Drosophila melanogaster: one gene and its partners. The main gene of each other region encodes a partner of the protein of the gene in region 2 in a complex. Each region holds a gene or a part of one and is shown on either strand. Other genes may lie near its edges.

Region 1 (12,928 bases), on a different chromosome or scaffold from region 2:
GCGGGCTTGCGCTGCCGCCCCTCCGAAGCTATAAATAGTTTTTAACTAGCTTTATACATGTGTGTTTGGTTGAAAATAATTTACACTTTTTGGTTGCCTTTAGCTGCGCTGTCGGCTTGGGTTACGTGCATATTTCGCTGCTGGTGGCGCAGGAATTACTCGACACATTGGCGTTCAGCGCTCCCGTTCCCGTGGACATGCTAACCGGCAGACTGGATGCGGATGAAGCTGGTGCTGCGGGTGGTGTGGTGGTGGAGTCTGGTTCAGCCTGTTGGGCTTGGGCTTGAGCTGCCAGATTGTTCGTCTTGCTGTTTTCCAGCTTGGCCCTAATGAGGGCCTCCTCGCGTTCCTTGGCATCGAAGTACCAGACGGTGATGGCATAGCGGGTACGGTGAGCGGGCTGCACTTCGTGGGGATTCCGAATGTCAGACCAGAAGAATATCAGGCGATCAAACTTGGGCTCAATATCCGCCACTGTGGTTCCGGGTGTTGGCCGAATTCTGTTTGTTGATTAAAGTTAGGTTGATTTTCATATCACAGGTATATTTATTACACCTACCGCAGAATGCCGCCACTTTCCCGCGCATCCCAGTTGATATTCAGGTAGTATATGGCCGTTATAACGCGGCCATCCTTTTGGGGATTGTCCACATGCATGACGTAGTGAGTTCCCGATCCCGGATAACAAGCGACCATTGCCTAAGATTAAGGAATCATATTTTAGCATAATCTCAAAGGTATTTTCACAGCATATGCTTACCCTCGTGCGCTCCCTGATGTGGTAGTTGCCCAAGATGCCATTATCCTTCATCGTGTTAACACGATACACCACAGAGTCAATCTGAAAGGTAAAATTAGATTATACTTCTTAACTTAAGTAAGCAAGTAGTTTAGGGACCATAAAAGTATTTCTTTTGTACGTTGCTCACCTGATTGGTCAGATACCAGACATTGCTGCAGCCCGGCTCATTGCCACCAACCCACTTGATCTTATCGCCTCGGATCTTGTCACCGCGCACCGCGGGTGCATCGGGCGTCTGGTTGGTCACCACTTGGCCATCCTGGAAGGCTCCTGCGTTGTACATGCTTCGAACCTCGTTGAGGATCTTCAGGCCCGTCTCCATCCCCAGGAAGTCGTCCACCACGGACAGACCATACTGGTTCATGTCGCTGATGATGTTACGGCACAGATCCTCATAGCGGCGCTCACTGCGGAAAATCAGAAGGGAAACAAAGATCTTATGTTAATTACGTTCCCTTTTAGTAGAGAGACGAAGAGAAAAAGTATATAGACCTTTCAAGACCGTTAATCTGTAACTGAATTAGAGATACCGATGTGAGTGAGGTCACCTTGGGGAAACCCCTGCATCTAATTAATGTTCACGCTTTTCCTTGCTATTTTTAGCACAAAAGTTCGATTGCGCTTAAGCTTTTTTACAGGCGTTTGAGCAACGGGTACTGCGATGCATACAATTTTACGACTTTTTTATGATGCGCCCATAAAACAAATATTTTCATACATGTCGGTGGTTCCCAGTCACGTAGGCCACCCAGAACTCAACTGGCCCAGATGATCGCGAAATTCCGGATAAGCAACGCAAAGCAACACATTGCGAAAAATATGAAACAGAGATGAAACATTTCGCACAAGTTCACATGCGCCATTCAAAGTCATAAAGTCAAATGGTTGTCGCAAAAATACAAATATTACTGAAACGTGCCACGCTGTTGATCGAATTCCCAGAATGGGATGGGGAGAACTATCTGCACGCAACGCAGGAAAGCAAATTCGCTACCGCCAACACATTAATATACGAATTCAAAATCAGCGGCTGTCTAAATATTACGATACACGAAAGACGACATTGACGACCACAAACCAAAACTGTTAACCGGTTTTATTGACATTCGCATAGCCCAAGTTAATGCAAACCATAATTAACAGATTATAAGAGGTGTGAAATCCAGAAGAGAAAATAGTTAATACTCAGCCCGAGAAACAACTATTCTAAAAAAACGAATCCAACACCTAAAATGATGTTCATTGTTGAAAAAGTTTAAAGGAATTTTAAAAAGTAGAATGAGATTTGTATTGTAATAGCAACATCGTTTTCAAAAGCCCCTTAGCTTAAAAACTCTTTTTAAAATTGAAACTTAAAGTTAATTCGGGGAAATTAGATTAGATACCTAAGGGCAATAAATATTTATATCCTTCACTGTCATGTGGACACTCTTAATTCTCTCCTTAGGAGGTTTCCTTAATTATAGCCTCATTTTACATTTGTTCCTTAGGAACTTTAATTCAGTAATTAAAATATCATTACCGCTTGTCCAAAAGTTCCCGAAAGTACTGCTCAGCATTGGCAGGATGTGCCGAGTGTTTAAAAAAGTTTTTGTAGTCCGTGGTCGTGGAGGTTATCATTTTGCCTTGATTAGTCAGCTTGCTTCTCACTGTTATCACAAGAACTCTATTACTCTTGAGACAGCTTTAAGACTGAAGTCCTATCTTTGTATCTCCACAGAGTTATTAGTTGTTGTTGTGCAGAGAAAGGGTGAATTAAGTTCTTGGCATTTGAATTGTTTCAGGATCCTTTTTTAGATACCCTGAATTGGTTAATTACTGTTCTTGGGAGATGACGGGTTCTCAAACGACTCCTCCAGAATTTCACGTGCAACTGAAGGGAGTTTATAATTTGCAGCGAGTTTTATGCGAAGGGGAGCCTCGAATTTTAGAGGGAAAGAGTGCGAGTTATACGTACACCGGCGGTTATATTATATGGTATATAGGTGCAAATGTGTTGGTGGGGAGGTACGTATTATTGCAGTTTGCATTTGTTGGGGCCGGCTGCCTATATATTTCACTTTTCGCTTTGTTTCACTGGCAGATGTTTGTTTTGATTTGACTTTGTTTATGCACAGTTAGTCACGTTTGTGTATTACTCAGCTTCGGTTAACTAATTTAAGTGAAATGTGAAGCAGCTGAACCGAACCGCACTCGTCGCCGTTCGTTTTCCGAATGCGGCAGCTGAGCAGGTCGCTCTCGCTCTTTACCGTTGGTTACGAAGGAGAGAGAGGCAGAGCGTTTTAAGAGCAGGTGAAAACAATCTAGCTATTTTATGGCCAAAAACTAGATTATGAGTGCTCGAATTCTGGTGTGTTAGTCGAACATGTGTTAACGTTTATAAATTAAATGGACATCTACGAGCAATACTTGAGGCATTTAAACCCCAGTTCAAAATTGGCTAAGGTGAACTGTACGTCTATCCCGGATTCGGAATACAATCGTTTAATACGATAACATCAAGATCGTAGAAAAGGTTTAGTTTGGACTACAAATTGTAGTTCGTTTGCTGTAACCAAATTTTTCTAGCTATTTTCTGTCCGCCTCCCAAATCCGTTCATCACTATCTCAGAGCGTCCATGAAACTACGAGTAAATCAGAAAGTTGGGGGCCTGGGAAGCAGCTAAATAATCGAAGGAGAAGCAGCCGCTTAAGGCGATAAGCAGCACCTTGGTAGGTGAGAGCAAATAATGAAAAATACGTACATATTGGTAAAAGGTAAAAGGCAGCTGCAGATAGCGAAAAACCGAACTGAACGTGCAATTTATGGGATCGGATACCCCGCAAGGTTCCAGAAAGCGGGAGGAAGCTACTCGTTCCGCTTGCCCTTCAAGAGAGTTTAAACACTCTCTGCCAAGCCAAACCAATTGCAAACGTAAAAGCGGGGAAAAGCGGAGGCAAACAGTAAGGCAGAAAGACAAGCGCAACAATCGTCACGTAGCCCAGCACACACACCAATGCGCAATTGGCACACGCACATGCGAGCGACCCATACAAACGCAAAGAAGCCACACGCACAGGCGTTAATGCGAGAGCCAAGTGAGTCAGAAAGAGATGGTCGCCAGCGAAGGGAGTGTGAGAAGGTCAGCGATAATGTAGATATTTAAAATGTTTGATACAAATATCTGCTAAAAATGCTTAAGAAACACTAACGAAGATGAGGCACAGAACGGCGGAAGCACGCGGAAGCTAGGCGAATGTGCGAACCAAAGAATTGGGTCAACGGCCCAGTTCAAAGTCGCCGCCAAACAACGTGCACGCAGAGAAATCGGGGAGACCTTTTAAAGCGCCATTAAAATAAAGAAATATCCCAGAAATCTGCCCAACATTCTGTAACCAAGATATATAATATATATAATAATATAATATATATATATAATAAATAAATCAGTCATAAAATTGGTAACGAAAAATATCAAAAGTATCTTATGGAATAGGAATAAAGATTATTCTATCTTCTGTCCTGTCTATACATTATTTATTATTTGGTAATACCCTTGGGCTAACAATAATAATAAGTCCCACACAACCCAGTTTCGAAGCAAAATGGCCACTAAACTGAACTGATTTCTTTTAGTGCAAACACGTTTTCGTGTACATTGTAATGATCGATTGGCGCCCTTTTTGTCTGTGATGTATTACGTGCGACAACGGCGACTGCGGCACGTGTACCACACCAACTCGCAGCCCTTTTGGTGGGCGGAGAAGCACCTGGGAGAGGGGCGTGGCGACGCACACGCACTGAGTGGCAGTCGACCTTGGTGACGTGCGTCTGCCTACGTAGCTCGCTCGGGCTCGCACTGGGTTCGAGATCCATCACTGGGAATCCATCACACAGCTGAAGGAGACCACAGACATGGGTTTACACCCAATTGGAAGTGGATAACATAAATAGAAAAGGGGAACCTTTAAGGAAATCCCTAGGAAATTTACGAATATTTTTAAACTAAATACCATTGCAATAGTTTTATATTTCTAATGTTTCCAATGGTTGCATAGTTCACATCGCAAGATATTCGATCTAAATAAACTTTATTTGATTTAAACTGGAAAGCACTTTCTCTGCTTTCAAAACTACATTTAGACATTCAAGTTCGGAAATGAAAAAAAATGAGGTGAGCAACGCTAAGGTGAATGCATTCTGGCTGAATCTTAGGCAAATCAAAAAGTAGCAGAGCAAACTATCCGCGAATGGATTGATTCCATATTGACTTTTCCTATCAATATTGCTGATTCAAATTGGAATTCGGTGGCGACAAGATGCGGTTTTTTCGACTTTTTCTGTTCATCGAGTTTTGCGCAACCGTATTGTTTGTTTTTCCCAGCAAGTTGCTTGACACATGTATTTTAGCACATTTCTAAACAATGACGGAATTTTGCAAGCCCCTGGAAATGAGATCACGTCGGTCCGACTGCGCTAATTGTTTGATAAAGAACAACACATCCCGCCGCAGATTGAAATCTCGGAGCTAAGGCATTCGCTAAACTCTGATAACACGATTTGAACGATACGCTTGCGTATTCCCGGCACGTAGGCAAAACGCTCCGGACCTCCCGGCCGAACGGACCACCCACCCACTTCGGGCGATAAGAAGGTAGAAAATACTGCACCTGACAAAATCGATTTGCAACAGTAACATAGAAAAATGAAGGCTTTTATTTGTGTATCCAAGTAAAAAGAAAATATCATAACTATCGGGTGGGAAGTTATCTGAATTAGTTCATATGTTGCACTTATTAGCTACAACTGCACATCCAGGAACACAAAATAATTTACTGCACAGTGTGGGGTTGATGATGACTCAGCCGGATTGGCTGAAAGATAAAATTACGAACAAATTTCTATATGTGCTCCGATGTGTGCGGTTCATGTTTGTTGTATTCGTTAATGCCGGGGTGCAAAGCAAAATAAATAAGCGAGTATTAAAGATTTGGACGCAACAAACTGCGCAACAGAATAATTACAAAGTCAGCACCTCCGCCCGGAAGAATGCGAGTCCGGCTGCGATTGCAGGTGCTATCAGATCGGGCATGGGTGCCATATACACTATGCGGCCGGGCACGTAATGCCGAAGGTAAATAAATACTCGACTCGAGAGGTGCCATCTCGGAGCAGAATGTTAGCAATCCGGAGACAGTCAAATCGCAGGGCAATTACGAATCTCATCTGACAATGCGATGAGTTGAATGGGAAAACAAACTGTTTCTATTTTTAAACTTTTACGTCTGAGAATATCGGACAGCCTATGTAGTACGTGCAGACATCAATCTAAAACCAACACCAAGTGTTTGTCTCCTAAAGAGTCCTTTCCTGGTTCCCCATTGGATTGGAAGCTTTACCTTGAACACCTGTAATATTATATCATATGATTTGTGTATACTTTAACAGCAGCAGTTCCAAAATGAGCCATGGTTTGGCTAATACAATTATACTAATTCACCCAAGCGATCTAAGATGATCTAGCAGTGCTATTCAATGTTTTGATTTGTGTTATAGGACCTTTTGCGAGGTAACTAGTATAAGCTGTATATCAACAACCAATAAATCAGCTGCGAAGAAGCTTGAGGATCGCGAAAACCATAAACTTCAGCGCCATATGAGCGATATGTCATCAGCTGTGTCATGTTCTGCTGTTGATTCGTGAGGCTTCTCAGGAGTGGGCACGTAACCGCTTATCGTAATTGACTTGATGTGCAAGTGAAGACGATAGGGGGCTACGAGCAGGAGGATGCACCTAGTGGGGTATATTTGGGGCTATAGATTTCGCTCCGGGACAAACTGCAAACGCAACTTCAAGTGTGCGGTCGGCTAGCTAATCGCGGTGCTTGGTTCAGTTACATTTAATAACTAGTTATCAGGTGAAATCATGGCTAATCAAATTCAAGATAAGCTTGCACCAAAACGTAGAAAATCTATTCTACCGAGTCATTTGGATGTTTTCAATAAGATATTGAAAATAACTCATCAATATCTGAGTGGCATTTTTCTTGTACAAGTTTTTGCTCGATCTATGTACGTTGTCAAGAAACTGTTTACACACTGTGAAATAAGTTGAATTTTTGACTTTAAAGCTAAAAATTAAGGGTTTTTTGCTTAATTAAACGAAATTTTTTTAAATAATATAATTAAACAATATTTATTTTATTTATAAATCAAAAAACAAATTCAAAATATTAAATATACAAGAAAATAAACAACGAATTCCAAGTTTACACACTTTTAAGACTGTCAAGAAACTCTTTACACATTTTGTTTTCCTACTTTGTTTTGTTCTTTTTCTTAGAACGAACTCGATTTTTCCGTTATTTTTGGCTTTGCATTGCTTTTTACAACGCTTCTATTGAAATTTGTTGACTTTGCTTGTGAAATTTTGCTGATCAAACGTGCTTAAAGCGAATTATTAAATTTAATAAAATGCCTGGAAAGAGATTAACTTTTGAAGTTACCCAATTAATAAACTATAACCACCAGTTGGAAAAATCTTTTCCAGAATTAGTATAAATGTTTCCTGTATCCCGTAAGACCGTCTACAATGTTTTAAAAGGCTCGGAAAAAGAGGGCAGGCTTGAACCTAAGAGTGGTGGTGGGCGGAAAATTAAAATTAAAAAGCGTGTAGACTGCTTTATTATGCGAATAGTGATTGCGAACCCCCGAATCTCGGTCAGATCACTTGCTCTAGATATCAGGCAAGAATGTCACCTAGCTGTGTCACACGAAACTGTGCGCCAAGTCATCCTACGCCATAGGTACTCTTCAAGAGTTGCAAGGAAAAACCCTTTGCTATCAGATGCCAATATTGAAAAGCGTCATTTATTCGCAGTGAGCATGATGGATCATGCGGAAGAGTACTGGGATGACGTCATATTTGGTGACGAAACAAAAATGATGCTCTTTTATAACGACGGGCCAAGCAGAGTATGGCGCAAACCGTTGAGTGCGCTAGAAAAACAAAATATCATTCCAACGATAAAATTTGGAAAAATGTCACTGTTGGTTTGGGGCTGTATCACCAGCCGTAGAGTGGGAAAACTAGCCTTAATTGAGGGCACAATAATTGCCGTGCAATATCTAGGAATTTTAAAAAACAAATTTGAAGGCCAGTGCAGAAAAATTTGATCTAGTTAGCAACAACAAGCCAAATTTTATATTTTAAGAGGACATGATCAGAAACATAAAGAGTGCAATGTACGCACCTGGCGCCCTTATAACTGTGGTAAAGTGATCGATACGCCCCCTCAGAGTCCTGATCTGAACCCCATTGAAAATTTGTGGACCTACTTAAAGAAGAAGGTGGCAAAAAGGAACCTAAAACACAACAACAGCTTATGACTGTAATAGTCGAAGAGTGTGAAAAGATCCCGTTTGAATATGACCTGCAAAAACTTGTCCAATCCATGAAAAAAGGGCTTCAACTTGTAGCTAAAGCCAATGGGGAACATACTACATACCAAAACTTTTAAAATTTTAATAAAATAATTTAAAAATTTAGGATTAAACATCGATTTAGTGTTTTGTGTAAAGAGTTTCTTGACAGTCTCAAAAGTGTTTAAACTTGGAATTTGTTGTTTTTTTTCTTGTATATTTAATATTTTTAATTTGTTTTTTGATTTATAAGTAAAATAAATATTGTTTAATTATATTTTATAAAAAAAATGCGTTTAATTAAGCAAAAAACCTTTAATTTTTAGCTTTAAAGTCAAAAATTCAACTTATTTCACAGTGTGTAAACAGTTTCTTGACAAACTGTATATTTCGTTTGTAGGACCATTGGTAAATATTTGTATCTAGTTAGAACGGACGTAAAAGTCGTAAGGCAACATTCTCAAAGTTATGTATAATCTATAAACACACGTTTTTAATCAAAGGCCATATTGGTCAAAAGCTGATAGCACATATTCGCAAAACAAGGAAAGTTCACTACAAATCAAGTTTTGAATTAATTACGGATTCTTTTGGTCAGTACATCACCCGAACATGGAGTACAATCGCCAGCCGTGTCCCATCAGGATTGTAGAGGATTGCGGGTGCGCCTTTATGATGGGCACCATGGGAGGATCGTTGTTTCAGTACCTCAAGGGATTCCGAAACGCTCCGTCCGGTCTTCGACGTGGCTTGCACGGCGGTATAGAATCGGTGAGGTTGCGGACACCGGCCATAGCCGGCAGCTTTGCCATTTGGGGCGCCACCTTCAGCACGGTGGACTGCGTCATGGTCTCGTACCGCCAGAGGGAGGATTCCTGGAACGCGATTGTCAGCGGAGCGGCCACTGGCGGAATTTTAGCCGCCCGGAATGGAATTCGAGCCATGGCCAACAGTGCCTTTGTGGGCTGCCTCGTTTTAGCCATGCTCGAAGGAGCTGGAGCAGCAGTGGCTACGATTTATGCATCGGATGGAGGAGTCAAAGCAGAGGAGTCCCTAATCACTGTTGACCAGCAAATGCAGAGACCCCAGTGGGAGACATCCGTTGCTGATTCGAACCTAACTGGGGCGGAGTTAGAGCGGGTGTTGGATGAATGTCGGGCATACAGGGCACACAACAAGATGCAGCAGCCTATGCGTTCGGACGCAGTGGAGGGTAAGGAACTGGGGCAACTGATGAAGCCAATGCACTCGTTGGTCGATCTGGTAAAGCTGGCCGAAATTGTCTGATAGAAAAGCTTTTAAGGTTTTAAGTCAACCTCCCATGCTTCTTCCAAATTAAGTGTTAATTCGATATTCAGCGTTAATCTTATATTATTTTTAAAAGCCCAGTAGGTACAAGGAATGATTTTCTATCTCATGGAGAATATTTTTCCATCTTCAATAAAAGATCAGCTGATATTTGATTGCATCTAATAAAATACTATGGCACTATGCAGGCTCAAAAGAGCTTCTAAGAAAAATATATCTCTTCTAGCGTGCCACCATGAGCAGTATTATAGTATTATACATTTTTAACTTATGTTTTAGCATAAAACTGTTGAAACTGAAACATCTGACCTGTCCACTGACGACCTACCTTCCTGATCCCATGAAGCTGGCATCCGCCAGACCGATTTGATAGCTGGAGCTCTTTTCGCCATTATGGTGATGATGCTGGTGCTGCTGCTGCCTTTGACCTGTTTCCGTTTCCGCAGCTGCAGCCTTCTCCTGGCTGCCCGGCTGCCCGAGGAGATTCAGCAGGTTGTCTACCTCGGCGGGCCAACTCTGCGCCTGGTGGGCAGGCGTCATCATCTGGGCGGTGGAGCAGTTGGCGCCGGCGCCGCTGCATTCCAGATTGGCAGATGCCACAGCTTGTTGCAGTTGCTGGATCTGCTGCCGCTGCTGCTGCTTATTGTTGTTGCTGCTGTTGAGCTTTTGGCGGGTCAGGAGGCGGCACTCGGTGCGGTGGTCGGGCCAATGGAGATGCTGGTGGGCGGGGGAGCAGTAGTAGACGGCCTTGCACTTGGCGCAGCGCAGTAGTTGCTGCTGAGTGCCGCAGATGGAGCAGCGCGGCGGGTCCATGGCCGATTTGGATGCGGAGTGGGAGCCGGAATGGCTTGCTGAATCCCTGACCTTTCCGCGACCCCTGCTCATTGCATTTTGCGGGAGAGGAGAGCCAAAGGCGACGACCGATTTTAACCTTGACAGCTCTCCCAGCTTTTTTTACCCCACCTCACCTACGCCAACTGAGGCAATCACACACACACACGCTCGCAGATTATGGCTATTTGTTATCAATGCGAATTACGGCACTCGGGCGTTTTAGCCAACATTTCACTTAAGACTGTTTGTGCTTATTTTAATCACGTAGGCCACCGAATTTGCCAAATAAACAAAAAAAAACGCACATACAACGCACACACACAGACGCACGGGCAGCTATATGTGCATTGTTGTTGGTTTTTCCTGCGAGTATTCTCTTTTGTAAGACGTTTTAGGGTTGCAACTTTTAACCCTATTGACTGTTTTATACCCTGCCTTGAGCTCTATTACGCCCCTTGTTTATAAAAACCGCGTAAACTGTGCAAAAAAAGGGAAAAATTCTTAACTCAGCACTAAAATTTCTTTTTGATAGCGATGGGCGTCGACCGATACTTAGCGTGCAGCGATTGACATGTACTCGTTGTACAGCACTATTACCGGCGGGCAGTAGGTATCGATAGCTGAACGAGCCAACGTTAGTGGTGATTATTTTATACTGGCACTTATATACTAACGGTAATCAAAGCTTTTTATTTCGCTATTTTTATTTACTAGCTTTAATATTTAATTGCACAAGATTCGGAAACAAAAAGCTATTGGGAAAATTAACTCAAAGCGGCCATTAACCCCATAAGAATTACTTTAATACAACTTCAGTCGATCGTTTATCAATTAAGCAAGGTCTCTAAGAATGGCAAATACCCTTATCGTCTATTCCAATACATTTATATATATATATTTTAAAGTCGATAGTCGATAGCGCGATGTGCCATCTCCATTATCAAAACTAAACAGATGCTGGGCGGAAAATCAACTGGTTCCTCGTGATAACTTAATCCCACTAATAAGCGCAATGTCGTCCAGTGAACGAGTGGCCAAAGTGGTGCTGGTGGACATCGAGGGCACCACCACTTCGATTAGCTTTGTGCACGATGTCCTGTTTCCCTACGCCAAGCAGAATGTGGAAAAGTTCCTGAGGGATTCGTGGGAAGAAGATGATATAAAGCGTATTGTCCAGGATCTACAGCAAGTGCCCCAGTATGCGGACTACAAGGCCCTGTTAAGTGGTCCACCTACGGAAGTGGATGTAGATCTGATTGCAGGCTTTGTGCGCTATTTAATTGATCAGGATCTGAAGGTCACGCCAATGAAAACGCTGCAGGGCTTGATTTGGGCGCAGGGCTACGCTAATGGAGAGCTGAAGGGCCAGTAAGTTCCCCATTCAATATTCTCCTATCATGGCCATATAAGTTTTACAATCTGAACTCTAGAAGGTTATCAAAGAAAAGGCTTACTTAACGTCTGTTCCCAAAAATAATTTGGGTGTCTTTCTGAGATCCAATTATACAGCTTGGTGATTTTTTAAATATGTATGCTAGCTATATTCTCCGCACGGGAATGTTTAACTTTTGCTGATTTCAATAGTTATCAGATAACATTCAACATAGTAACCAAAAGTACAACGCAACAACTCATTATTATTGATAATTAATTAATTATCTATAAATGTTATTATAGTGTATACGAAGACGTCCCTGCAGCTTTTGAGGCTTGGCGTGCTGCTGGCCTCCAGATTGCAGTCTACTCCAGCGGCAGTGTGGCTGCCCAAAAGCTGATATTCGGTCATAGTTTGGCCGGGAACCTGCAGCCGTACTTGAGTGCTTATTTCGACACCCATGTGGGCCACAAACAGGAACAGCAGTCCTATAAAAACATTGCCAAGCAATTGAAGGAGGACCCGAAGCAGATACTCTTTCTCACGGATATTCCAGGAGGTGAGTGGCTGATCCACACGAATCCTCATCCGTAACATTTTTAATGTGAAATTATATTTTAGAAGCGGCCGCCGCTCGCTGTGCGGGCTTGCAAGCCATAATTCTGAAGCGTCCTGGAAACGCCGCCCTAGCAGACGATCAAAAAACTGGATTCGAGTTGATTCCGGACTTTAAACCACTTCACAACCTGAAAGTTCCGGTCAATAAATCCCAGGCTTAGGTCATTCCAAAAAAGTATACATATATTGTGACTATGTGCTTGGGAATTAGGTGAATCTCTAGAGGAAAGCTCGATCTGCGCTGCACAGGTCGTCACCGCTGTCGTGGCTGGGCGTCTCGGTCGTGAGCCCCTGCGGCCGTCGTTCGGACCGCTTGCTTCGTTGAGACTGCCTCGAACAGGACTTTTCTGAGCCATAGACCTTACGCAGTTGCTGCAGCTTAGTATCCGCATCGGGAACAGGAAACTCTGACTTTTTCTTCCTACGTTGCCGGCTCCCCTCGCACGAATGACGCAGTTCCTCGGTCCGGCAGGTGTGGGTGAGCTTGCCCACTTCTGGACCCCAGAACGTGGGTCCTTCCAGAAGAAGGGGAGCGGATTTGACCCGTTGACGCATCATCTCCATATGCAGTTCGTACTGACGCTCCTGA
Region 2 (9,862 bases):
CATCTTTCAGCAACAAAATGTTTCTCTCAAAGACGAAAGGCGTTTGTGTAAGACTCAAGGGGCCCAAGTCACCGCCATGCCGGGCAGAGCAGCAATCGGAGATCATATTTGCCAATTCAGCAAACTCAAATTTGCCTGATTGAATTAGATCCCTCGCATGCATGATCTTATTTAGCGCTTCCTGCTTAGTTCTCCTTACCATCCGTTCGCGATATGAACTACACCTGTCCGATTCGCTGTGCTTCACCAGGATGTGTCTGCAGCGGAGCTGGTCATTGAAGTCAGAGTAGTCTCCAAGAATGGCGCCCCAGGCATTCCTATCCTTTTCTCGGTGGTGGCTTGGAGGCAGTGTGAAGTGTACCTTTCTGGTAATTGTGTCGTAGAAATAGCACTCCTTGGTACTGTGAGCTATGCGCTCTTCCCATCCAAAGGGCAGCTTGTTTGGCCTTTCGGAAGTACGTTCTTCAGTTAGGTTCGATAGCCCACTGTCCCCATCACCATAGGAGGCGCTTTTCACGTTAACACTCGAATATACGCTTTTAGAGCTCGCGTCAAAGCAACCCCAAGAGTGGTCACAAATCTGATCTCCATTTTTGCCATCTTCTTTTTTAAATATATCAAACTTGCATAGCGCCGGATTCTTGGAGTTCATTTTTGCACAAACTAGACGGTGTAGGTATTTATGTGACAAGTGTAGGTACTGAATAGGTTACTGCTTTGAACCAAAGTCTTAAAGAAAAATAAAGCAATGCATTCTTGTTTGTTTTACAGCTCGGCTTTAAAGCATATATTTTTAATTATATTTTATTTTCATGACTTTATTGTTTTTAGGTTTCCGAAATAGTTATGAATCTTATACTGGCTTTAACCACGGCTCTGCACCTAGTTTTGGTGGTATTGGCGCACAATCCGCTATCAACTCGTGGCGAAAGCCTTTCTGATGGCATACGTCTGGTCATGGAAAAGAGGTCGGGCGATGTGGTACACATTCGTCCAGCTCGGGGCACACTGGAGGCCGAAACAGTCGCATCCACAACAAATAGTGACACCCACCGCACCAGGAACAATCGTAAGCCGAACAAGCCTCAAGAGCACTCTCAGCAGGTTGGGGCCCACAAGTCGGGATCTAGAAAACTAGTGGTTGCGGAAAATGGCGGGGCACTGTCATCACAACTACCACAACCAAATCACAAGCAAGGCCACAAGAACACTGATAAGCAACAACGAGGAGGGGGATCCAAGCAGCAGCGAGGACATAGCCAACATCATGGAGGAAATAGGAAAGGGCCTAAGGCAGCGACTCCAGAGAATGGTAAGCCTTAGGACTGCCACGTCAGAATTCAAATAGTTTTTAAATGCAAAGTCTTATATTTGCTTGTTAACAGGATCGACTTGCCGATACGCAAAGAGCGCTTGGTCCAATTGTGATCACAAGACCAACATGCGTTCACGAGTCCTGTCCCTAAGGAAAGGAGAGCAAAACTGCTTGCCCACGCGGACCATACAAAAGAAGTGCAAGAAAGGTGCGCGCGGTAACTTCTATATGTATCATAATCCTACACAGCGCCTCCCCAAAAGGGGAACGTAGTAGAATCGGGCATTCCCATAAAAGAGCAAGGCGGTGTCATTGCCGGCTTAATGGGTCCAAAGGTCACAAAATGCAAAAATCACTCTTGTTGACCCATATACAAGAATGCTTCCTTCTGGGGAGGATTGTGCTCTCTTCGACCCACTTCGAGGTTCTCCCCGCCACAGCTTCGTTTCGTTTCCTAGGAAATACTGCAGTTCCTGTTCCTAACAATGCAGCGAGTGCATCCTTCATAATAGCAAATACTTTCCAAAATTAATTTGAAATTTTGCGTACTTCCTTCGGTAGGCTGCCGCTATGAAAAGGGTGAATGGTCTCAATGCGTCGGAGGACAAATAACCAGAGAGGATAAGTTGGAACCAGAGGCAACTGGCGGTAGTGATCAAAACTGCAATCCTGTGCGTACCGTCAGCAAGAAGTGTAAAGCAAATGGCAATTCCAGTGGAGGAAAACAACACGGCCAGAGTCGTCGAACAAAAGAGCAAAAGCAAAAGGATAAGGGTAAAAGTGGTGAATTTGACCCCTTTGTGAAAAGTTTGATCCAAATTCTCTGTTTACAGGAGCCAGTCACATTTCGTCTTGATAATGAAAATTATTTATTTTATACGTATACGGAAGCAACATTTTTAATATTAAATAAGCGATTTTTAAATGCTAGCCCGTACGGACTACTTGAACAACAATAAAGAATTGGCCTTCTTAGGGCTAAATGAAAGCACTCTTTTAGAAATTCTTGAAACAAGGCTTTCACAAACCCCAATACCGCGAAAACCTGCACAAAATGAGACCTGTTATTGAGTAATCAAAGAGCATTGATAGAACTGTTAGTTGGCTCTGAGTTTTTATTTAATATTAGACGCGACAGTAAAATAACCGTCTGCGACAAAATTTAATTAACATTACACAAAAGAAAACGTTACCTCTAACTCGGCTTGGTAATATAAAGATGTTAAATTTAATAGTGTTTCTTTACTTAACTGCAAGCCCCCTTTAAATTGATCGATCTTTCGAGGCAAATCTTCAAGTTACCAATGTCTTTAATAGCCATTGAAAGGGTGTTATGTGGCTGGCCCAAGATTTGCCGCAAACTTATTGTAACGTCGCGGTCGCTGACCTCCGGCTTGCGGCGGGCACTGGTCAAGCAGCCCCGTAAAGGCGGAGATGTTGGAAAACCCGGAATGGAGCTTGGGCGCTGTTCGTGCTTTGGACTCCGTGTGAACCTCAGCAATGCATCCGTCGTATACGTTGGCCACCGACGCTACTCGACGTACGAGAAGACGTCTACGCAAATTTTAACGAAGCTCTTTCCACAAACCTCTGAGGAGTCCAACGACGAGGAAAGTCGTGAGCGGCGGAAACTTGAGGAGGAGGAGGAGCAGAAGGAATTGGAGCGGGCATTTAGGCGGATGAAACTGGGCTTTGGGCTTTTCGGCATAGGTAGCATGTTGTTCTCGTTTTGGGCTATATATTTCTATGGAAGGCCGTCCTTGGATGAGCACGGAAATGAAGTAATCGACGAATTTAGTTGTCTGCCACAGATGCAGCAGCTTATGTGGCGGACATGGAAGTCGGTGAACCGCTTTCAACGGTTTTTCAAAGAGCCGTCGAGAAAAAAGCTGCTTCCTGATCCCCTTCAGCCCCCCTACGTGCAGCCGCCGTATACTTTGGTACTTGAGATTAAGGATGTGCTGGTACATCCCGATTGGACCTACGAAACAGGATGGCGCTTCAAGAAGCGCCCTGGCGTTGACGTGTTTTTGAAAGAATGTGCCAAGTATTTTGAGATTGTTGTTTACACGGCGGAGCAAGGAGTTACTGTGTTCCCGCTGGTCGACGCGCTTGATCCGAACGGCTGTATTATGTATCGCCTGGTTCGCGACTCTACGCACTTTGATGGAGGGCACCACGTGAAGAACCTTGACAACCTCAACCGAGACCTAAAGCGAGTGGTTGTCGTGGACTGGGATAGAAATTCCACCAAGTTTCACCCTTCGAATTCATTCTCGATCCCGCGGTGGTCTGGAAACGACAATGACACTACCCTCTTTGAACTCACGTCGTTTCTTAGTGTTCTAGGAACGAGTGAGATCGACGATGTCCGAGAAGTGCTGCAATACTACAATCAGTTTAGTGACTCGTTATCCCAGTTCAGAGAAAACCAGCGAAAGCTGGGTGAGCTAATGCACGCCGAGGAGGTAGAAAAAACTAGCAAGTCTAGGCCCGTTGTCAAGAACTGGACCCGTGGCTTCATAAATCATTAAAAAGATTGTGCGTTTGATGTGTCCCTTAAATACTGTTAATTCACCCAAAAAATTACATTAAAACTTTCCTAGCATTCTTCAATGTCTACCTACTAACAGCAGTTACTTTTGCAGTTTTTTGCGTATTCTGATTGAAAAAGTCTGAAAACATATGATTTCTGATTTGGCATTTAAAGCAGACTGCCCTGCGGAACGTCAATGCTTCCTTGAAGGTAACAGTGCAGCCACTAGGCGGATACATAGCCGTAATGTTGTGAAAAATGTTGTGTTACGGTTTTATATGAATGCAGGCTTCCAGAAATCCTCAGTCCAGCACGAGCACGCAAGCTCAGCAACATGTTGCTGCCATGTGATGGTGTGCGTGAGCACGTGCCAAAATAACTACGACACATGTGTACTCTTGAGGGAATGTTTCCACAATCAACAACTACGCACTTCACACCACTAGGTGAGTCATGCGCAGTATCGTCCCTGCGAACATTCATCCGAATGTTGGCATAAGTAAGTAAAGGGATCAGGTGTACTGTAAGCCTTCCGTCTAGTTACTTTCGATGCAGATTTTGATTCTGGCTGAGGGTTCGTGGCTGGCTGGGCCTCTTCTCCTTATGTTGAAAACACACAACAATTCGGTGGTGGAAGTATACTGCGGACGTCAAACTGGCGAGCCAGGGCGCAGGCGTTGGTTCATTTGGCACTTTGTCTGGTACTCTCCCACATCGGCATCCTGCAATCTCTTTGGCTCAGCATCCTTGTAAGCTGTTGTCGGAGCAATCTGGGCATGGGGCAACTGAAAGGAAAGCAACTTTCCCATTCAGGAGCGCACAAGCCGCAGGAATCGCGAGCGCAGACAATTCAGTTCGGCTTTAACGTAATGGACGGAAGGTTTGAATATCGCTTCTCGCCCCAGTTGTACAGATAAAGTCCCACTGCACGCAATAGGGCACTTGGAAGATACAATAGAACGCCGAGCAGTGTGTGTATATAGGTTTGAATGCTTACGATTGGGAATAAGTGGCAAAATATTGCAACTATGACCTAAACGCAAGGCAGTTAATAACTTCGCCAGCTTTTGGCCAGATTCGTGACACACTTAACTTGAAACTTCAATGCTAGTGGGATGGATATCTACTCTCAAGCCGTGTTTTAATGCCCCAAGGATTCCGCTTTCTTGCCACAGACAATGAGCAGGTGCGTGTGCAGTTAAACTAATAAAATTGTAGTGGACCCACCCGACCCACATATTTTGCCTATTTGCTCCTATTTGTGTTTTTTTTGGTTACCTATGCATATGTTATGCATATGTATGCTCAACAAACCATGTGGAAATTGCCGATGGGAAGCTTTAGACTAAATGCATTGACTGCGTATCCTTCACTGCCACACCCTAAAGTGACTATGCTATCACTCACTCGCAGGGGGAAATGACCCACAATCATAACAATAAAGATACAGATGAGAGCCCACATGTACATATTTTATGGAATGACTGATAACCAATGTATTTAGAATGCATGACACACTTTGAATTAAGTGCTGTAGTTAAGTCACACATGGCACTGCACTATCTGCAGATTTCAGCCAAATTGGCCATTTAAAATCTTATTTTCTAGATTTGCATGTAATCTATAAATAATGGCAACTGAAACCTTTTTGGATCTGAATTATGAGAGGGGCAAGGTGTCGAAGAGGTCACTGCGACCAAAGCTATTAAAATTGACAGATGTGACGATACCACATCGAAGTCGGAAGAAAAACAAAGTTAAGGTGAGTTGCGAGTTGTGAGAGGGAAAGAACATTTGAGCAACTAGATCTTAAAGCGCTGTTTGTTTTCAGACCAAAGACCGATCAGCCACATCCGTGCGCGACAGGATCTATGATGATCCTGCCTACACAGAGGACATAAGCCACTTGGCGAATCCCATGCGTCGCAGTAGCATTTCTGGGAAATCCTTCTTGGAACACAAGACGAGGTCAGATACGGGCGGTCAGGCATCATCCAGCAGCCTACTGGCCAAAAACCAGCTGCCCCAGGAGCTGCATCAGTATGTGTCAGGGAAGCAGGCCAAGATCAAACAACACCACACAGCCACAATAGCTTCCGGTAGCACCGCCATCAGCATAAACTACGAATGTGATTCGAGCAGCACCGACAACGAGGTCCAGGAACCAATCCAAACCAAAGGTGGTATGAACCGCAGGGTGCGCAGCCTAGAGCGCAATCTGGCCGCCACAGGCTCCGAAAGGGCCGAAAAGAAGGGAACTCAGAAGCGCACCTCGAAACAAAAGCGGAATCTTAGCTTAGACAACAATCGCCATCAGCCCGCAGGACATCCGAAGCGGGAGGCGGTAGCTGTAGCTAAGGTCGGTCACGATGCTGACACACGAGCCCGCAAAGAGCGAAATCGGAAGCCCTACGGCGAGATGGGTCCGGATGGTGGTGTCCCGACCGAGGTCAGTGAGTTAGATGACGGGTACTCTGCTCGCGGTTCCGCTCAGAGTTCCGCCTGCACCTTACCAGCAGAATCAGCCGCCGACGCGGCGAAAGTTGCTATCGGCAAACGGTTCCTGCGCGGCGAGATTGGAATTAAAAGCTTTAACTACTATCTGCTAAAGGAGGGCTTAAAGAGCTCGAAAAAACTAGTGGACCAACAGCGAACCCCAGCTGGCAGTGGCAGTGTGGAGTCACCTCTGAAGGCCGAAAAACGACATTGCCGCAGCGAGGAAAACATCTACGAGGAGATCTTCTTTAAGGACACGGCCAACGCGGTGAGCTCGTCGGCAACAGGAGTAGCCACCGGCATGGCGATGCCCGTTGCCCTGACAATGTGTGATCAAGAGACGCACAGCCTGGAAAAAGGAGCTCAGCCGCATGGAATAGGCGCCACCAATCCCGCATTTGCAGACTGCGAGTTTTGTATGGAGCAATGCAGCAAGGAAAACTGTGAATATTGCTTGGCCCACGTTGAACAAGTAGCAAGTAAAAAACTGAAGGCGGGGCAAACACAGGAAGAGCAGTACCTCAACCAAGGACATAGGAAAAACCACACTATGGATTCGCGGCCTAGTGCTCCGGTGGTCGAGGTGCCGACCGCCCATATACTAGAGTTCCAGTCGTACAACCCAAATAATCCAGGCGTTTACAAAATTGAGACGACTCCAGTGGCCATAACAGGAGACTACAACCCGATTCTACAATTTCAGCAGTCTTCTGCTACTACATCGACCTCAGCTACCACCACGCCAAGTGAACCCCAGATTTATGGTGGATACTACCTGCCCCATGCGAACCAGAGGCCATACCACTCGCCAACTGTTAACAGCCAGCTGCCAAATCACTACGCCGTGGGTGGCAGTCTGCTCTTGGCCCAGGTTACGGGGGCCACTCAAGGGTCCGCCACGCCGCCTCGGCGACCCCAGCAGCACTTTATAGTGGGATATCAGAACGGAGGAGGTATGTCCGCAGGTGCGGCTTCCTTACAGCGCTTTAACACGAAGTCCTCGTCCTCGAGCGACTCGCTTCCCTATCACAAATATAATACCATGGCGCGACTGGAGGCAAATGTGCTAGCAGCTCCTGCCACTGGGGATCTTTACTATGCGGTCAGTGGGACGCAGCCACTGCATCCGCTTATGTATGCTGCCAATAGACCCATTGGAGGATCCCAGATACTGGTGGATCCCTACGATCCGCAGATGTACAAGAGCGACTCAAAGGCATCAATTCTGAGCGAGTTCTCCCTTCGCAGCAGCGACAACTCGCAACGCTACGCTCGGCATCCTCATCGGCGACATGGCGGGCGCGTCAGTGATTCCAGTCTGTTTTCAGTGTACTCAAACTCTGGCCAAAGGCGGTACTTTGGAAGCTCGGAAGGCAGGTTCGGATACGATTGTAGACGCTGCAGTCTGGATGGCGTCATTGGAATGAGTACTGCGACTGGAGGGTCTATGATGGCTCCCGATAAGTGCAGCTACTCGGACAACTGCCGGTTCGAGTGCCGAAACTGCGACTGCTCGTCAAATTACTTTAGCTCAGACTTTGATGATGTTTACGGATCAATAGCGCGAGGAGGAAGCAGCGGAATCCCGCGAAAAACTGCAGCAGGGACACTGCCATCAAGCGCACAAGACGATCAAGTTGAGCGATTGGAAGCCCCACCAGCGTCGATGGAGCAGCAGCAGTACGCAGACCTAAAACAGAACAAGTACGCCCAAGATTTCTTTAAGCATGTTAACGACGTAAAACGTAGCATTTACCAGTCGGAAATGAAGAGAAACAATAGCTTGGAGTCCTCAAGGAGTGGTCCAAGAGCTGGCGGCAGCACAAAAAGCAATGTCAAAGCAAGTCCCAAGCGGGCCGCCTCACAGGAAACTAGATTAGTAACTACTCTTCCGCTAAGCAGGAGTCGGCTTTCTGCCGGCGTAAAGCCGACACCTGCACCAAGGACCAGTCTCCAGACACCGACTCCTTTGCCGGAGACTACCGTCGCAAGTAAGTACAACCGATGTGGGATTCTATTGTATAGCATTGTAAATAACCCTGGAATTATTCATAGAAGATCCCACGCCTAGTAAGCGAAAAAGTCAACCAACTGTCCGGAGAGAGTATCCTTCCTTGGACAGGCTCGTTGCGTCTACCACGGGCACCATTCCGAAGAAGAACAGCAGGAACATAACAGCGGCCAGCTTACAAAGCCCGAAGCTGACGCAAAAAACTAGATCAGAGGCTCCCGAAAAGAAGGTTGCACCTGAAGATCAGTTGCCGCTGCCTCCGTCCGGCAAACGACACCATCGCACAGGCGCATCGAAGACAAATACAAACGCTCCCTGTTCCAGCCTACGCAGGAAAGACATTCCGGCTCCACCTCCGCCTTCCCCCGCTACATATTCCGACCTCCAGGAGCTAAAGGCCAATATGGAGGGTTTTCGAGACGATACTAAGTCACGAAGCTTGGAGTACGACACTAACGATCTTACGGCTGACGATAATTCCAATAAAACTCAGAAAAAAAGTCTCAGCGGACCACCGAATCCAATGACGGAAGCCCCAATTGGAGCCACTGATGCAGGTGCAGTGGAGACTGACGACAACGACGTCTTCTATGATGCACGCAGCGAGGATTCTGGCGGTGGTATCTTGCCCTCGAATACCAGTGATATATCGAAAATGGTGAGTGCTTTGCTATTGGTAGCAGAATTTTGGAATCGTGTAATGTGAAATACAAGCCCTTATTTGAGTAGCCCGACTAGTAGCTATGACAATTAATACAAATTACTATTGTAGATATATATTATTTTTATTACTTCAAATTTTGGCTATTTGTAAAATCGATTTTCCAAAGCCTACATTTGTTTGAAAGACGAACTTTTAAAAGTACAGAACACCGAAATTTGCCAACTCAGTTACAGCCTGAACATAGATTAATAGTTGTTAGAAATAATTGGACGGGGAGCATTGATAATGAAAAGGGGCCGAGTTGAAATAAACATGAATAAGATTTCAATTAAACGATTTTTTACAGAGTCCATCCCACATGGCGACATTCACACGGGCGGCAACTAACGAAAATCGCAAAGGCGCCTTTGACAACGAAAAGGAGCACTCTGCCGAGGATGATGATTCTCCGTCTCCCGCCGCCCCTGCGCCAGAGGGGCGTGAGCAGGCGTCCTCCATCACGGGCAGACCGAAAGGGAATGGCAACAGTAAAATAACCACAACCCCAAGCTGTGAGCTCGGGAGCTCGGCCGAAGCGGAAAGCAAGCTGGACTCCGCCGCACTCTGTCGACCCCGACCACGACCTCGCCAAGCGTCTCCCCACCTCCCGCCCGAATGCACGGACACTGGGGGGGCTGGTGACGAACAGGCAAGCAAAACAAAACACGAAAAGAAGACTCCAGCAGACGCCCCCAGGCAACATGTTGGACCAACATGTTCGGAGGGGCAGCGAACCGCCGCGCTAGCAACAAATGTTGCTTGCGCACTCTCAACAACCACCAACGCTGGCAACACGAGCGC
Region 3 (9,285 bases), on a different chromosome or scaffold from region 2:
TATAATACGTTCTTCAAAAATCAAAAGTACAATTATACAAAAAATGTACATTTTTTGCGAAGTGAGAAAAAACATCTTAAAATGGATCAACAAACAAAAATGCCTGGAGAATGTGTGAACACAAGCGTGAGGCAGCTGGGCAAACACTAACCGGTCTTTGCTCGGAATGGCCCAGTGGTGATCCAACAAACTCTTGCGCCGCTCCTCGAGGGTGGAGCGAGTGCTGGAGAGGCCCAGGCCGGCCTTCTTGTCTTCATCGTCTAGAGCGTCAGTCTTAGCGCTATCTTTGGCTTCCATAGAAGAGTCCTGTAGAAAATGAAAGAGCAATAAGTTGGGACACAGGAGTAATATGATAAAAATGACTTACCTCCACACGTTCGCGGTCGAAGGCTTTGGGAAACGCGTCGCCATCGCGTCCAGTGCTGGAGCAAAGCGACTCTTGGTCGTCAGCGATTTCCAGCGACCCTATTTCTGCTGTTGTTAGATAAGAAAATAGCATTAGTAAGCGAATTTCTTCTGAAAAAGGAAATTTTATCACTGTTTCTATACTTCTGCTTCCGAACGATCTTAGGCAAGCTAAGCAGTTAATCATCTTCAACGATTTTATGTAGGAGTTACAGAAACTTGATTTCAGGAATGACCCGTCGAGGAACTTACCATCTAAGCGCTTATTACCGTCTTCGCCCAGCAGCGACTGCTGCTCGGGTAGCTCCTTGGAGTCTTCTTCGACTAATACTGGTTTGGGATAGTAGATTTCCGGTTTCTCCGCGTCTCCCGAGGCGGAGTTCAGGCCCTGACCTGCTCCTCCGGCCACTCGCATGTGCGCAATGTCGTGGAAGATGGCGGCGTTGACCACCAGCTCCATGGGCGCAATGACGCCGTAGCTCTCCGGGCCGTGCTCGATGACCAGGGGATCGCTGACGTTGGGATCGAACATAACGGCGTTGGGCGTGACCAGCAGGACGCCGCCCACCACGCCCTGTCCGTCCGTGATGTGGCGCACATTGATCTTGAGGAAGCGCTGTGTGATCACCGGATCGTCGCTTTTGTTGGCCTCCTCCTCCGCCTGCTGCTGCTGGCTACTGCCGCCCACGCGCTCGATGTGTCCCGGTTTTGGGGATCCGGGGCGCAGGCCCTCGAGTATGTCTGCAAGGAGCGGCATTTGGTTAATATCTTTGCTGGCTAGGTGGCTGCAAAAACGCCATTTAGTTATTATATTATATTAGGGGCAAGTGATTTTCGGGTACTATTTTGCTGGGCTGTGATTTTATCAACTACACCCGTGGCCGCGATAAGATTGTGAAAGCAAAATTGATATATGGGATAGTTTAAACTAAATCTACGCCTTGTGACCCCCTTTGTTGTTCTAGGTGTTACGACCAGTGAATGGGAACGGCATTATAGCGCTTTTCCTAGGTAGTTCGGCGTGTAAGGTGATGTCGTAAAGATATTGCCTAAAGGGTGTAGCTTTTGCATAGGGTCATGGGATGGGAAGAAATGTTATACATTATACGACTTTCGAAAAGGGCTTTTTAATAGTTCCGACTAACTGGGTGGTAGTAAGTTTTAAATTTAACAGTGTAATTTCTAGTTTCTAGCTCGAAACTACAATAGTTATGATGCCTTTTGAATCTATTAGTGCAACTTCTTTATCATCCATAACCGAGATTCGGTTTCCTGGGACATGGACAACGAGACCCTTGCTTGACCGAAGGTTATACTTTCCGGAATATCTGGACCTTCAAGGCCAGGAGTTTGTCAACCGCAATTAGCACTTTTTCACAGATCGGAGCGACAACAAAGGTAGAAAATCAAACAATAACCTCCATTGCGCCAGAAGACAGCCGTGTGCATGCTGAAACTTAGAATATCGAGTACGTCCGGGCGCACTCTACGTCGTGGATTATCCGGCTCTCAGTACGTGGCTTTCGGCACTCGACCGATTCGATTTTATAGCCTTTTTAAAGTGAGAAACAGCGGAAAAACACGTTCTATGAAACAGTCAACATTGGCCAGCAGTGTGACCGCAGCTCGGTTGTTTATATATACCTCATAGTAATGGAATATACTAAAAAGTTCTCGTCTAAAGTAAGGTTATTCATGAAACTGCAATGCTGTTTGTGGAAGAAGTGGCGCCAAAAATCTTAAAGTTATTACAAAATGTGGCCAAACATTAATTTGCCATCTGAAATTAATCAATTAACATATGCACATACCTTTTCTGTATTAAATAGCTGAATAAAGTTACTTTAAAGTTAAAGCTAGCCCTGAGACTAACTTCTTCTTGTAATTATAGCAATTATATATCAATTTATATACTAAACATTTTTGAGGGCTTCAAATGTTCAATAGTTTTCCAAATTAGTTTAGTTTTTACAATGTAATAAACATAGCCGCTTTTCGCAGTTGCTAACAAAACATTATTAAGAAGAACTAATTAAAAAAAAAACTAAAATCAAATAAGCGATATGTACAGTTAATTGCGCATCTGGATATATGATAGTATGCAAATGTTTGGACTTCTCTAGTAAATGCGACCCAAAAAGCGATGGAAGAACGCAATACGGAGTTTCTCAAAAAATGTTGGCACATGCATGTAAAAAGCTCGTGAAAATGAAAATCTCAAGCGGCGATGATGGCAAACGCTTCACTATCGTCGCACCAATTGCACCATTTCCACGGAGCAGCGCCTGGGTTGGCTTCCGTTCTTACCTTTCTCGCGGCTCTCGTCGCCGGACAACTTGCGCTCGACCGGACTCGATTTGCCGGACAGGCTGGCACCGTCCGCGTCGTGGGTGGAGCTGCTGGAGGCGTCGTCCTTGGCGCTCTTGTCCGGCACCAGCAGCTGCTGGCCCGGATAGATGAAGGAGCTGTTCAGCCGGTTGAGGTGGGTCAGCTCCGAGGGCGTGGTGTCGAACCGGGCGGCCACGGAGGTCAGGGTGTCGCGATTGCCCACGGTGTAGGAAATGGTGGGTATGGTGGGCAATGAAGACTTTTGCCCTGCGGAACGAAAAGAAATCATAATTAATAATGGCATCGTATCGCTGGAGGTACGTGCTCGCAGTTCTTTACTCGGAGGATCGTGCTTCTTCGGGGCACGCTGCTGGAAGACCTCGAAAGAGTCGCCATCGGGTCGCAAGTGCGAGCAGATCACACCTGTGGGCGGAACCTGCTGCCGGCAGTGGTAGATAACCGAGAACTCGTTGGTTGGCATGTGCCAGTATATCTCAATCAATTCCACCATTTCTAGCCCTGTATCATACGGTTTTTTTGTATCGTTAAAACTGCGGGCTCATCAGTTTTCTCGAACTGTCACAATTACATTCATACATGTAATCAACTATCAGCGCTGTTAGCTTTGGCGCGCACTTTCAAACGGGAGGTGCGATAAGAATTTGTTTATAGGTACCCCCCGGTTGGCGCACAATTCCCTGAATCAACTTCAAACTAATGCCAGTAAGTAAGTATGTTTTTTTTTTTAATGAAAATTATTTTATGATTATGTTAAGAATGCCTCTGGTTTAGGCACTAAAATTGAATGTAACGCGCAAAGTACAATCTGTTCTGATATATCGGAATCGGAATACTGTAGAATTAAAAAAAAAAACACCCTTTTTGCTAGCTGATTTGATTCAATATGTACACTTTTCTAATAATACATCGATTTTACATAGAGTGTGAGCATGAGCGACACCTGGCGGCAGAATACCCTAGCGTTGACTTGAGGAACCTACGAGTTCTACACAAATTTTACATTCATATTACATATAAGTTTAAATTGAACTATTTTAATTGAAAGTGAGTGGATACAGGGGGCTTAAGCCGGGGTTCAGCAAGGATCCTTCCCGAAATAAGTATTTGTTTTGAGAAATACAAAATGATTTTCATATAATTCTGCATCCATCTGCTGCCCTAACCAAAGATTCTCCATCGGTTTAAGTCTGTCTAATTAAATTATACTTATTTGAATAGTGACTTACTTGATAATTTGTCGACGCTCTCGAAGCGCTGCTCCACTTTGGAGCGGAGCGAGTCCAAGTCGAATGGAGCCGCAAGGCCGTGATCCACGCTGCGCGATTTGCTCCTGGAAAAGTGGGAGAGTGGTTGTAAATCGGTTGGGAATGGAATATTTGGGCTTGTAGCGATCGGAGCGCAATCTGTTGCGATCCTTATCACTTACAAATTTCCAGCTCGAATTGTGACCATAACCGGGTAATAACAATTTATTTATTGGCAGCCCGTTTGCCTTTTTTATTCAACCTTTTTGTTGTGCAATTGCTATCGTTTTGTAATGATTATCTTGACGATCAGCGAGTGTCCAAATACGGCAAAACGACGCATTTTAAATGTTTTTTTAAACGGTTTTTGATCTGTTTTGTTTTTTGTTAGATCAGCCTTTAAACAATTGGCGAGAAGTCACGATTTTCATGTGACTTGTCCTTAGGTGTTCGATAGAATTAAATCGGAAAAGTATGAAGTATAAGTAATTTGTAAGGAATAACACACGTGTCGAGTGCTTCTAATTACTGATTCTAATTTTAAAATGTAATTTTTTCTATTTGCTTTAAAAGTTTTTTAATGAAACTTTGAATTGAAAATCGCTCTCAAGGAGGCTTTGACTTGTCCATCTATTCTGCTGTGTGTGTCTGTCACCCCATCAATTTTATCGACTGAACTCTCCTGAGTCCGATAATCAACTGACATGGCGGAGTACGGTCGGGAGCCTTGTCCCTTTCGCATTGTCGAGGATTGTGGTGGAGCCTTCGCAATGGGCGCCTTGGGCGGAGGAGCCTTCCAGGCGATCAAGGGCTTTCGAAACGCCCCCTCCGGCCTGGGATACCGATTGAGCGGAGGATTGGCGGCGGTACGGGCTCGATCCGGCCTGGTGGGTGGTAACTTTGCGGTGTGGGGCGCTACCTTCAGCGCCATCGACTGCTCACTGGTTTACTTCCGGAAGAAGGAGGACCCGTGGAACGCCATAATTAGTGGAGCAACCACCGGGGGCATTCTTGCTGCTAGAACTGGTGAGTTTTAAAGTTTTTTTTTTCAGACAAATGCATTAACAATTAGTAAACCAGGCTGGTTTTCAATGCTTTCTCAGGACTTTTATATCCTTATATCCTTTTTGCCTTGTTTTTCTTTCTGCTTAACTTTATGGCTATTATCGCACGAATATGCGAATATTTACTTTTTTGCTTATTCCTCTTTTTGGCAGGACTAACCTCCATGCTCAGTAGTGCCTTGGTGGGCGGGGCTCTATTGGCCCTAATAGAGGGCGTGGGCATTGTGGTGTCCCATTATTCGGCGGATTCCTACCGCCAGGTGTCGCCCGTGGAGCGGCAGCAACGGTATAAGCAGGAGCTTTTACGGCAGCAAAAGGGCGTTTCTCCACTCGCAGCGACTTATGGAGAGGTAAGTGAAATCCCCTGCGCAATAATACGCCTCAATAATTCCGCCACTCACACTCTTTAATTCCAGATTGACTCTTCGGCATTGTAGAATTCTTCGCTGCGTCATCGCCTAGTCGTCGCTATCCATCCGCGAACGCGTGGATCGACGATTGCATACCAATTTATAAAAGATTGCTTTGATTGTTCGAATCTGATACTGGCGGCATTCCCATTTCAATTTAAATTCAATTGTCGTACAGTGCAAGTTTTAGAATCATAAATATATTTTGCTTCGGCATATTTATATAGACAGTCTGAAGTCCAGCCGAAGTGTGGTGGCTTTTTGGGAGGCGCGTGTGCTTCAAAGCTCCATACTTGAAATTCCAAACTTATTTGGGGTTTCCTCCTACAAAACTCCTTTGATCAAGCCAGAAACTCGAACCTTAATATATCTAAGCCTAAATATTCCACTTTATAATGCTTGTTTCTGCACCCGTGGAGTCAGTGGATTCTACTAGATTCCTAGAAAAGTGTGTAACAGACAAATGGATTTTATTTATTTTGTTTTTGTCTGCTACTTCAATCGATATGCCAACAACATATTGAAGTTTCTCACTAGCTAAATCAAGGGTACTCTACTATATATCATTAGATTTTCTTAAGTTACACTTTGAATCGTTCCTTTTTTTTAAAAGGTTGCTAGTGCTTATCTTTATTAAAACATCTCTTCTGCACTACATTCCTCTTTCTGCACTCACATAAGAGCAGTTTTCCCTATTATTGCGTTCCCGTTTGATTGGCAAAACTAATTTCCGTTACGATTTCGGGCGGGAAAATAGGGTTTCCTCTGCCCAGATAGTTGTATCACCGTGACAATGTGAATGTGACAACCAAGTACCCGAATCGTCAGGAGGGGGCTATTCATAAGCTTGAGTATATGAAAGCCTCTTTCTGTCGATCAAGGAACCCCTCTTTGGCTTCCCCCTGAAAATAATAAAAGTTTATTTGCGCGTGTCTTTTCACTGCGTTGCCAATTAGCGCAATTGGCGATAACCATAATTGAATATCAATGATAAAAAATAAATACGCGAGCGCGTAGAATAATTGCGGACTGGAGTTTTCAGCTGGCAGCAGGCGCATGCAAAGTGCCTTTGTTCGCAAATAAACAGCGGCGGCAGCAAATACTAAATAATTATTTAACGCATATTTGTCGCCATCAGCTATTTGCCTTTCCCATTTTTAATTCATAGCCATATTTACCCCCGTTCGCCAATGAGAATTTTCCATGGAAAGTCTTCAAGTGCCTGGCTGCGCAGCTGAAAAAACCTTTCGTGCTCGCCGTTTTCTAGGCCTTTTCGCGTGGAAAACCATTGCAAAAACAAGAGCCTGGTTGAAACAACTGTGTTTGATTTAAGTTGGCCACATTTGATGACGACCACGTTCCGAGTTATTGAGTTCAGACGGCGAAATGGCAATGGAATCCATTTGCACAGTTGGCTTTCGCGCTCAAATGAAATGGATAGGTACATATTTTGTCTTTGTTCGGCAAGCAAACATGAATAATTATTAAATAATTGTAAATGACACAAATATTATGTTCGGAGGCCGTGAATTTATTTTTCGCATTCTTCTATTTTTCTGCCAAGAAGGTCAAATATTTCGAATAAGCTAACATTTCTAACAGATTAAAATTGCTTCTTCTTTTTCCAACAACTAATTCTCAACAAATATGTACTATTCATATTTCAGCGACTATCTTATACTTATACTCGTATAGTGTAAAGAATGATTATAGGTTAAGACATCTTTTTCATGTTGTGTCACTGAGCAATTCCCAACCTCTAACTGTGCTAATCACTGTAACTAATTGCCAGCCAGTAGTTTAACTGCTATAGACACGCTTCCGCATTAACCAGTTGGACACACAAAATAGAGGATAAAATGAAACATCTTATTCATCATATGTATATATAGTTGCCCTTACTAATCCCCTGATGTTCTCCATACCACAAGTATCTCCAGAAGTATCCGCAATGCGACGAGTCACATTTGGCCAGAGGCTCTTGAGCAATTGAAAGCCGAATGGAAGTCATTCAGGGCTCGATCGCTGGCTCATACGTACATTCATACGTACATAGGTACATACAAATATCTTATCGCTCTTGTGCATTGTTTACCTTCGGGAATGTGGCCCTGGGCTACGATCAGTGGCATGAGCACCGAAAAAACAAAAGTAGCAGTAGCATTTTACTGGCACAGTTCCACCGAGCCAACTGTGTGTCAACAACCCACGGGGGTGTTACCCACAGTGCTTACATTACGCATCGAATGGCAGAATGGCAGAATGGCAGACAAGCCGAAGTGAACTGAGCGAGTGACTCAGTTTTCGCTACGTATACGTAATGTGCGATGCACGCACACATAATGTGCAATATTGGTGATTATTGCATATGTAAAATTGAAAATAAAGAGATTGTACTTTCTTATGTTCCACGTGACTCACCAAAAGGTTGCGACCTCTTCTTGGGATAGGCCTGGAGTATTCGCATCCTAGCAAATCTATTTATTATCACAATGGAACACATACTCTCACTTCGACTGCCTTCGAAACTGCCTTATCTCACACCCCTCAAACCGCCGATTTAATCTGTGAACATCAATCTGACATCACTTGAACATCAGCCATTTATTTACGCTTATACGCGACTTATATATTATCAGAATTCGTTAATAAGACGACAGCGAACATTAAGATAATCTATAAACAATCTATAATTTGAACACTGGTCGCTCTCGCCTTATAAATTATCAATATTTGCGGCCTGCCGTTTTCGATTTCGATTTAGATTTAGTTTTTTGCCCGGCTTATTTACAGACCGCAAAAATAATTTAATGCGGCAATGGTTATGGTCACAATTCGCTGGAAGTCAAATTTATCGTTATTTCTTAGATCTACGAATGGGTTATCAAATGTGGGTTAGACTTAAGTCGGGCCATGCACATGCACAACATGCAACATAGATACATAGATACACATAGCATAAGGTGGCTTTATAGTTATGTCATGCAGGTGCGTCACAGGCTCTTTCTACAATACATATGTACATATGCACATGCTATGTACTCTGGCTCATTTGCATTTGAATGGACGGGTGTTTTGGTGAGGGAGGCGGTGGTGGGAGGTAGTTGGGTGGACTTAGGCGGAATAGTTAGGTGTTAGTTGCAACTTACCTGCGCACGGGTATCGCCAAATTGTCAACGCTGCGTGACAAACTGGAAACATCTTGACTAGCCCTACGTGACCTGGCACGTTCGCAAATCATAAGGAGCACATCGGGGCAGGCGAACAAAACCAATTAAACGGCAAAGTGTGCCAAAACAAAACGGGAGGTCCAAAGAAATAAACGGAGAAACAATAAGGTAAATAAAAATGTGTAATTACGAAATGGTAAATTCAAAATACACGCTGCAGCGAAACTCGTTAAGTGTATCTCGCCTAATCGCGCGGGTTTAACAAATGCCAATTTACGGAATGCACACGTACCGTTGGGAACTCAACGATCCCGATCCCGATCCCAATCAAAATCCCAAGCCCTCCTGTCGAATAGCTATCCATCTGCCACTGGATAGTTTCATGGATATATGTGCTATATAAGTATATAGTAGATATTGCTTTGGAATCGTCACGTCCAGAAACGAATCGAGTGGGTTCGTGGAAATATATGAGTGAGAATAGAGGAACACACCTGCCTTATTTCTCTTCCTTTTCATAAGTTTTCAACACCATGCTACTTGAGTTGGTATTTTCCGTGGAAAGTTAAAAAGTTAGAATTGCTAAGAATCAGTGCTCACTAAAGTGCTTCTCAAGAATTACCATTTATATGCAATCAGTTGA

What was found.
Region 1: ttm2 (region 2) and Tim17a2 share a complex: the UniProt entries of both Drosophila melanogaster proteins name them as parts of the TIM23 complex.
Region 3: ttm2 (region 2) and Tim17b1 share a complex: the UniProt entries of both Drosophila melanogaster proteins name them as parts of the TIM23 complex.

The regions. Positions count from the first base shown.
Region 1 is NT_033777.3:5,255,034-5,267,961, reverse strand, and holds Tim17a2 (Tim17a2), read left to right. Parts: upstream 1-5,269; 5' UTR 5,270-5,436; intron 5,437-8,802; 5' UTR 8,803-8,816; coding exon 8,817-9,491; 3' UTR 9,492-9,626; downstream 9,627-12,928. Other genes in the region: Hph (HIF prolyl hydroxylase), read right to left, coding at 122-500, 560-699, 761-841, 930-1,209, 9,841-10,397; Enoph (Enolase-phosphatase), read left to right, coding at 11,359-11,714, 12,024-12,280, 12,343-12,500; CG1113 (uncharacterized protein), read right to left, coding at 12,559-12,928. UniProt on the Drosophila melanogaster protein: Essential component of the TIM23 complex, a complex that mediates the translocation of transit peptide-containing proteins across the mitochondrial inner membrane.
Region 2 is NT_037436.4:272,719-282,580, forward strand, and holds ttm2 (tiny tim 2), read left to right. Parts: upstream 1-2,436; 5' UTR 2,437-2,619; coding exon 2,620-3,849; 3' UTR 3,850-3,949; downstream 3,950-9,862. Other genes in the region: CG32845 (uncharacterized protein), read right to left, coding at 1-652; miple2 (midkine and pleiotrophin 2), read left to right, coding at 847-1,312, 1,386-1,532, 1,877-2,089, 2,149-2,171; RhoGEF3 (Rho guanine nucleotide exchange factor 3), read left to right, coding at 5,482-5,613, 5,683-8,338, 8,403-9,016, 9,369-9,862. UniProt on the Drosophila melanogaster protein: Essential component of the TIM23 complex, a complex that mediates the translocation of transit peptide-containing proteins across the mitochondrial inner membrane.
Region 3 is NT_033777.3:5,295,490-5,304,774, forward strand, and holds Tim17b1 (Tim17b1), read left to right. Parts: upstream 1-4,655; 5' UTR 4,656-4,702; coding exon 4,703-5,024; intron 5,025-5,215; coding exon 5,216-5,412; intron 5,413-5,478; coding exon 5,479-5,499; 3' UTR 5,500-5,697; downstream 5,698-9,285. Other genes in the region: mtd (mustard), read right to left, coding at 152-306, 368-474, 658-1,146, 2,713-3,000, 3,981-4,084, 8,622-8,693. UniProt on the Drosophila melanogaster protein: Essential component of the TIM23 complex, a complex that mediates the translocation of transit peptide-containing proteins across the mitochondrial inner membrane.